Linked DNA regions of Oryzias latipes. The protein of the gene in region 1 interacts with the protein of each later gene in a biochemical or structural test. Links are inferred from orthologs where the notes say so. Each region holds a gene or a part of one and is shown on either strand. Other genes may lie near its edges.

Region 1 (3,422 bases):
TCTGCACAGATACAAAAGACTGCTATCTGGCTGTGATTGAGGTAAATTCTATATTTTGAAAGAATCTTTTTGGCTTGCCTAAGTTTCCAAAAATAAGCTATGTTATTGTCTTTTCAATAGAACCAAGACTCTGTCAACACTGACACTGTGTGTCGCCTCTATGAAGTCGGCCGGCAGCGACTTGCAGAAGAAGAGGAGGAGGATGAGGAAGATCAGGTTAAACTTTTTTTTTTTCATAAAATCTGAACTGAGAAGCAGATCTTATACCTGCACTTTATGACTGAAACTTTAGTTTTGTTTTTTGTGTTGCAGGAGGATGATGACCAAGACGAAGACGATGACGATGATGACGATTCTGATGATGACGTTGATACGGATCCTCTCATTGCTGAGCTGGAAAACGAGAATGGAGGAGAGGATGATGACGATGACGGCAATGAAGCATTATCTCCATCCGATGAGGAAGTCGCACGCCTTCTTGAAGACGATGGAGACGTCGAGGAGGACGATGACGAGGATGAGGATGAAGAGGACGATGATAATGAAGAGGATGACTCTGACAATGACGATGCAGACCTGGAAGGTGACAATGGTGAGTATAAGTGAGCAGTCTACACATTTCTATAAGTAGTTTTTACAAGTTGCTGGAAGAACTCAGTTTTATTGACTCAAACAGAATTTTCTGTACTTGAGCGTGAATTACATATTTTCTATAAAGTAAACCACAACCTTTGATAACTTATATTATTAGGGCCACTGTCTTTCATCTAATCAGTGGTGCTCATCAATGCATTAATGAAATGAACTGCCAGTTTTCTTTTGCTATTTGTATCACAGCAAAAGAATAAAAAAGAACAGTTTGAATGATCTGGCATAGATTTGACCTTAAACTCAACCACCTGATTGCTTCCACACAGCTGATTGTGGGGAATAATCGAGTCCTTCAGGAATGTTTTTCATAGAGCTCCCTGAGGTGGATGTGCATTTATTTTCTGCTGCACTTTCAAAAAGGTTTTCATTTGGGAGTCATTCCTTTGTGTTTGGGTGCCTGTTATGGTGCCACATGATTCCAAAGTGGTAACTGCTGTTTAATTTTTAAGACTTGCAATTCAATTCATATTTGTCAGACACTTTGCCAAATAAAGAGAATTAATTTAAAAGCTACATAAACAGTTTTATTTCATATTCCTTCAGTAATAACACATTTTTTCCCAGTCAGAAAAACATGTTTCAAAATCTTTAGAGTAAAGCCTCATTGTTGCCTGTTTAACTTATTTTAAGAACAGTTTTAAAAAAAAACGTTAACCTAACCTTAAGCTTCCTCCAAAAAAAGGGTTTTGCTTTTTGAGTGACTATCTTCTATTTTTAAAAATAAAATTTGAATATTTCAGAAGTAAGTTTAAGAATAAAGACGCAAGTAAACCAAAGACCTGTATGAAAATAAAAAACGAATTAGAAAGCCTTCACGTTTGCTCTTCTAGTGTGATGCTCTGACCAAATGTTTGTTGTTTAATATCCAAATCTCCATTTGATCTGCTGCACCAACAGACAGCTCGGACAACTCCGATCTGGAGGATGACATCATCTTATCCCTAAATGAGTGAAGATACCCCCATCGTCCAGGACTGTGGGGTCCATGGAAAACCACAGTTTATTTGTCTTGATAATCTACAAAAGTCTCAAACACAGATGATCCTTGGTAGGAAAGAGCAGAGAAGAACATGGAGACATGGCATTGGGCAAAAATGATTGTAAAGTATATAACTTTCTATTAAAAATTGGTTTGATGTGTTTAAAAAGGCCACTATGTAGATGTAGTGAAAAAAGGTTTTAGAAGTTCTCACTTTATTGGCTTTTTAAAAAGCCAGTTTGTTTCAAATTGATTCATTCTCTCCATCTTTGAAGACACAAAGTATGGTTCTTCTCAACTGACTTTTCCTTTTTAATTCTCTACCCATCCTGACTGAAGGACAACATGTGAGTTGCAAGGCAAGTAGTTTGTCTGGGAAAAAATAAATAAAAAAAACAGCCCAACAACATCCGTGAATTAGGCAGCTGTAGGGATCTTAACACACGGGGCTCTTGATTGCCAAAGAGCCACTCAGCAGTTCCAATAATAGATGTTGTCTCCTGATTTTGTTATGTAAACAGAAGAATTGGATCAAGCTGTCACTCCAGCGAGTGCAGACATTGTAACAACACCAGTGACACAAGTTCACAGCCGTCCAGCAGGCAGCGGATGTCTTTAGCTCCTTACAATCTTATGGTTGAGCTCACAAAGTGATCCGACTTCCATGGATGCTCGCAGGGTTGGAAAAATGCAGGGTTTTGTGTGCTTGGAACCAGCACAGGTCCAGTTATTTAAATAAAGTTCAGAAAACTTTGTTTTATTTCTCAAATCTCATTGGTTATTGAAGTGAGTGGTTAATTAGCGGACTGATGGTTAAACCGTTTCAATTCTTGGAATATTGAGAAACTGTGATTAACGCTGCAAAAATATGCTGTGTGTGAATTTTTTTTTCTTTTTCTTTTTCCCCCCTGACATGTTGGATACTGTCATTTTTGAAAAAGCAAAGGCTTAGCACACGCACACTTTAACGCAGTGCAACATGGTATACTTTTTTGGTTCTCTTGTTTCTAGGATTTACTTTTCCCTTTTGGAGACCTTTGAGTTTCTCAACACATTTACTGTACAGGTTGTATGTATCTAAAGTATTTTTACTATAAATAAAACGGAACAATTTGTGCTTTGACTCCTGTGCTTTTTTTTGAAGAAGAGTGACCCATGTTTGCAGACAAATGTTAAATCTGTTTTTTAAGAGGAACAGTTCAAATACAGCAAAAGTTAAACACATTTTCTTATTATACAGTGTGATGTGATGATGCAACAAGGGGAGGCCAATTTATTTATACTATTATGCAATAAAGTTCCTTAGGCTTTTTCCATTGTGAATTTTAAAGACAAAACAAAAACAGATCATTTGAATGAATTAGTGCAAATCTAATGTTTGAAGGAGCATAGGGATAATTTCTACAATGGAATAGATGGTACCTGTTTATCAACATTGGACTCAGGTGATTCAAAAAGCTTTCAAAAATTCAAATTATACTCTGACATTGACATTGGTTTAACTAACTTGCTTTATTCCTATACATTTTAGTTCATAAATCCATCTTTTTTCCCCTCAAAAAATACAGTGCATTTATTTGCCTTGACAGTTGGATCACAAATGTTTTTTAACAACTTGGTTTTATTTTGAAAGTTAGTTTCACCCACATTTGCTGCATACTTTTATCATATAAATAAAAACCAACAATTTGAAAACAAAATGTTGATATTTGTACATGTTATATATATATATATAAAGCAAGTTATGTTTTTAATATAGTCATCTGCAAATAAAAAGCGGCACAGAATGTGA
Region 2 (4,565 bases), on another chromosome or scaffold:
TACCTGTAGAGTACACCACCTCCTCCTCCAAATGCTTAAACAGCTCATCGGCTTCCTTTTTAGAGAAAATCAATGCATAATCACAGTCGAGTCCCTCTGCCTCTATTTTTTGCCAGGGAACAGGATGGGAGAACTCTCCTAGTTTAGTGTCACCATCTTCCTCTTGTATGCCCTCGTCATCATTCAGCAGTTTCATCATCTTCCATTCCCTTCTTTCAGGGGAATTCTTTGTGCATAAACGCTTATGTCGCCTTTGAAGAACACCGTTTTCCATCATTGCAGAAAAACACTGGTGGTTCTCAGGTAAGTAAGATTTGATCTCCTTGACAAGACAAAGAAAAATATTATAAAGGGGAAAATTAGTCTTTACAATAAGGCTGTCATTTACGAAAAACATTGAGACTTTCTGCTTTCAGCTGATCTTCCTACTCGTATGATCCGTGGATATCCATGTCTGACCTCATCTGTCAGTCTGTCCATCGCCACAGTAAACAATGGAAAAAAAAAGCTGATCCTTGAAGCAGTCCCACCTCCACCGTGAACTTCTCCATCACACCTACAGCACATCTCACTGCTGTCTTACATCCTGCTCAACTCCAACACATTTCTGACTCTTCATACAAAACCCCAGCTCCTTTCTCTGTATCCCGTCATTTCCATCTAGATCTAGAAAGACACAATCCAGCTCCTTCTGACCTTCTCTTTTCCAGAAGCACCCTCAAAACAAATGACATCTGTGGTTCTCATTCTCTGCGTGAAACCTACTGTTGCTCAAAATGCTCACTTCTGACCTCAGCCTTTCTCTTAACACACAGTCCTGAACTTCTTCATTCCACAACCAAGTCTAAATTATCTGCTTTGATCCCATAAATCCGGAAAGTTTTTCTGTTATGTTCAGTTTGTTTTTGAAAGAAAACCATTTAATCCACTAAACAACTTCCACTTTTCTTCATAAAAACCCTGACTTCTCTTACCTTCATAAGACGTTTCTTCTACCAACTATCTTCCAAAAATGTCAGCATTTTGCAACATGTGGCCTGAAAAGCAATTCAAGGTAGTTTGCTTGACCAGACAAAGTTTATAACAGCTGCTGCAGAAGCGTGAAAACTGGCTGCGCTTGAACGGCGCTCAGCTCATTACCATAAATGCTTTCGTCACTAAATTAAGGCGCGAAAAGTCTTAACTATAGTCCGCGAGGTCGTTTTACCTGGAGTACTGCAATTTATCTGCTGTGAATGAATTAGCCGGATAGAGTTAGTCCTTCCAGACAGTATAGGACAGTTTATTTCTTCAGTATTTTGGAAAAATGATTGGACAGAAAACTATTAACTCCTTTTTCTCGCCGGTTTCAAAAAAGAGGTTGTCTCAGGAGACGAATAAAACAACGGAGGATGATATTGAGCCAGTAAGCATCACTTTCTTTAAAATTATTTCTTGTTTTTTAAACAGATAATACACAAATCAAATGTAATTAACTCGACTTGGACAACTTTACTTGCAGTCCATGCACTGATGGTGTTGTTCTCGCGAGATTTTTTAATGTTCCCGTGCTGCGTTCGTGGTCTTTTCGATACTCTGAAATGTCAAAGATGTCGTTCCCTGCTAGCGTAACAAGAAAATGTTAGCACCTTTGTGTTTTCTGGGTATTAATAAATGTTCGTTGCATATATCAAGTTTCATGCCGGTTCGTCTTTCTTCTCAATATATTAAAATTATCCAGAAGAAACCGAAGATCGCTGCAGTGGACCCAGAACCGCAAAGTTCTCCTCTGTCTCCGGAGCAACTGGACAAGATTGCCCGCAACAAGAAAGCCGCGCTGGAGAAGCTCGCTTCCGGGCTGACGCCGCAGGGGTTCAGCGAGAGCTGGCGCAGGGAACTCTGGTCTGAGTTTTCCAAACCATATTTTAAAGATGTGAGAGAGCCACGCGTCTGCATGCACTGCGGTTTCTGTTGTTCAGCAGCTCTATTGATTGTTTCCTATGCGTGCCACAGCTGACAAAGTTTGTTTCTGACGAGAGGAAGCGCGGTACTGTGTACCCACCTGCCGAACAGATCTTCACCTGGACCCAGATGTGTGACATCAGAGACGTGAGTTGGACGCACAAACATCTGACCACGTGGTCAGACTGAGTCAACAGGTGGGAGGAGTGGATCCTTGCCTCTGAACTCACTCTTTTTTACAAAAAAAAGGTGTGGGGGGGGGCGTTTTGTGTTAAAGATTTCTTCACAAATATGATCAGCCTATTTAAAGATCGCAGATCTCAAACTTTTCAATACCCTCTATATATAAAAACTAGGCTTTAGCTGCATTACATCATCACAAGTGCATAAAAGGTACACCAGGGAGCCACTTCAAGTTATTTATTTTACCCCATAAGAACCCATGGGGACACCCGTGTGACTAAAAAAATAATCAGAAATGTGTCTTGTGGTCTGTGAGTATCCCACAATGTTTTCATTTAAGGTCAACCAGATCTGGGTTCTTATGGATTTTAAGGAAAACCTTCGACTTCCATGCATGTTTAGTAAATGGTAATCCTGTTGATAAATCTGTATCCTGCAAAGTGCACAGCGTATTGCATTTCTTCTTTAGATTACTGATAATTTGGTATGAATAGTTGGTGTGATGATGAGGATGCAGATGAAGGGTTTAGATGTAGGCTGATGATTTGCAGCCAAAGGGCAAAGAAGATTAAAAAGCTAAAACGTTTATAAAGTATTGACCTGTTGTCCACATGGACTGTTTGCAGCATTAGATGTTTTTTTTTAAAAAATATGTATTTAAAAGGTTTTCTCTCAACTTTTAGCCACCATAAAGTAATTTCTAATAAACAGAAGAAAAAGGAGGTACCAGGTGAATATTTTTTGGCCATTCAGATGGGTTTTTCTCAAAAGCAAATGCCTACATCGTTTTTTTTTTAAACATTTCTCTTGCTGATAACGGAGTGTTTAAAATGACTACAGCTTAGATAATTGTGTTTTCTATTCTAATTCAAGAATATCAGTGATTTACAATTTTTACAGCACTATTTCTTATTTTGGGTAATTTATTTACATGTCCTAAATAAAGATGGGAAAGGTGTGGAATCAGATTTGGTTTCATCCAGAAGTCTTATCTGTACGTGAAAAGTACATTCAATGAGTATTTTTTTTGAGAGGAGGACTTAGAAATCCTAAAAACACATCTGGTTTTAGGTCAAGGTGGTGATTCTGGGACAGGATCCGTATCACGGTCCAGGTCAAGCGCATGGATTGTGTTTCAGCGTGAAACGACCCATTTCTCCTCCACCCAGGTTTATAACTATTGTGTTTCCCTTCATTTATCTATCGACACATAATTCTGATGATCTTGGATGCTCTGCACTACAGCTCATCTAAATAAAAATCTGCATTTTGACACTTGTTTTTTTTTTTCCTCCAGCTTGGAGAACATGTACAAAGAACTGGTTTCTGATATTGAAGGCTTTAAGCATCCTGGTCATGGAGATCTCACTGGATGGGCTCAACAGGGTAAAGATTCAAAGATTGCTTTGAATGTTTCCGTTTTGCAGATTTGGTCATCCACGAACATGCTGTCCGTCTTTCCTTTGACCGTTCTCACCAGGTGTGCTCTTGCTGAACGCTGTGCTGACCGTTCGAGCACACCAGGCAAACTCCCACAAAGACAAAGGTTGGGAGGTCTTTACTGATGCTGTGGTTCAGTGGCTCAGCAACAACCTACAAGGCCTAGTCTTCCTCCTCTGGGGATCATATGCTCAGAAGAAAGGATCTGCCATCAATAGGGTACTCCATCTAACCTTCAAAATGTCAGCAGAGGCCTTTGTAGCGTAGCAGTCATTGTATGCCTTTCTATCTACTTCTAGAAACATCACCACGTGCTGCAGGCGGTGCATCCTTCTCCCCTGTCAGCACATCGAGGATTTTTTGGTTGCAAACACTTTTCAAAGGCCAATGAGCTGCTAAAGAAATCTGGAAAGTCTCCCATTGATTGGAAAGCACTTTAACTTCACGTGTTTGATAGATCTTCCAACATGTGTTCCTTAACTCTAGACCAAAACCCACTCATAAGCTTTTACTTTCTCTTCCTGAAACAGTTTATACTTGTAAGTTTGCCTTTTTTCTTTTAACTACTTATTCTAATAGGCAGTTTTTGTAAGATGCCTTTTCACCATCTTGGCCGTCAGATCTGGATGGTAGCTGTTGTTGTGCGACTTGTCATGAGTGTTGTGCAGATATAGCATTAAATATATCTGTATGTTATTAGCTTTTAGTTTATGCAATAAAGTTTATTGTCTTATCAATTCAATTCACGTTTTGTCGTGAACAATCTTTTTACATCAATGGATTGTTTTACATCATCAATGTGAGCTGAACTTAGTGTTTCCTTAAAAATGTCTAAAAGAATGAATTTCCAGAACCGTAATGAAGGTGAGGCAAGAAAATCCCAGTTGAATTTGTAATTCCGTCTTTTATAATAAAAAAAACAAATTACATTTTTTAAACCCAAGTCACTACTAAAGAAAATAAAATTTTAAGATTTTTGTTTTTTTTAGCCAAAGGGGAAT

Evidence for each region.
Region 2: of the proteins of dcaf1 (region 1) and ung, one has a biochemical effect on the other in vitro, tested with the Homo sapiens proteins (2 studies listed by BioGRID, with this or other methods). The link is inferred for Oryzias latipes from reciprocal best matches to the Homo sapiens genes DCAF1 and UNG.

Annotation. Positions count from the first base shown.
Region 1 is NC_019865.2:16,270,377-16,273,798, reverse strand, and holds the end of dcaf1 (DDB1- and CUL4-associated factor 1), read left to right. Parts: coding exon 1-41; intron 42-120; coding exon 121-216; intron 217-312; coding exon 313-592; intron 593-1,548; coding exon 1,549-1,604; 3' UTR 1,605-2,753; downstream 2,754-3,422. UniProt on the Homo sapiens protein: Acts both as a substrate recognition component of E3 ubiquitin-protein ligase complexes and as an atypical serine/threonine-protein kinase, playing key roles in various processes such as cell cycle, telomerase regulation and histone modification.
Region 2 is NC_019867.2:12,979,663-12,984,227, forward strand, and holds ung (uracil-DNA glycosylase), read left to right. Parts: upstream 1-1,512; 5' UTR 1,513-1,618; coding exon 1,619-1,912; intron 1,913-1,992; coding exon 1,993-2,088; exon of another isoform or gene 2,089-2,153; intron 2,154-3,195; coding exon 3,196-3,293; intron 3,294-3,421; coding exon 3,422-3,510; intron 3,511-3,604; coding exon 3,605-3,783; intron 3,784-3,863; coding exon 3,864-4,004; 3' UTR 4,005-4,306; downstream 4,307-4,565. Other genes in the region: DNA oxidative demethylase ALKBH2, read right to left, coding at 4-322, 430-567. UniProt on the Homo sapiens protein: Uracil-DNA glycosylase that hydrolyzes the N-glycosidic bond between uracil and deoxyribose in single- and double-stranded DNA (ssDNA and dsDNA) to release a free uracil residue and form an abasic (apurinic/apyrimidinic; AP) site.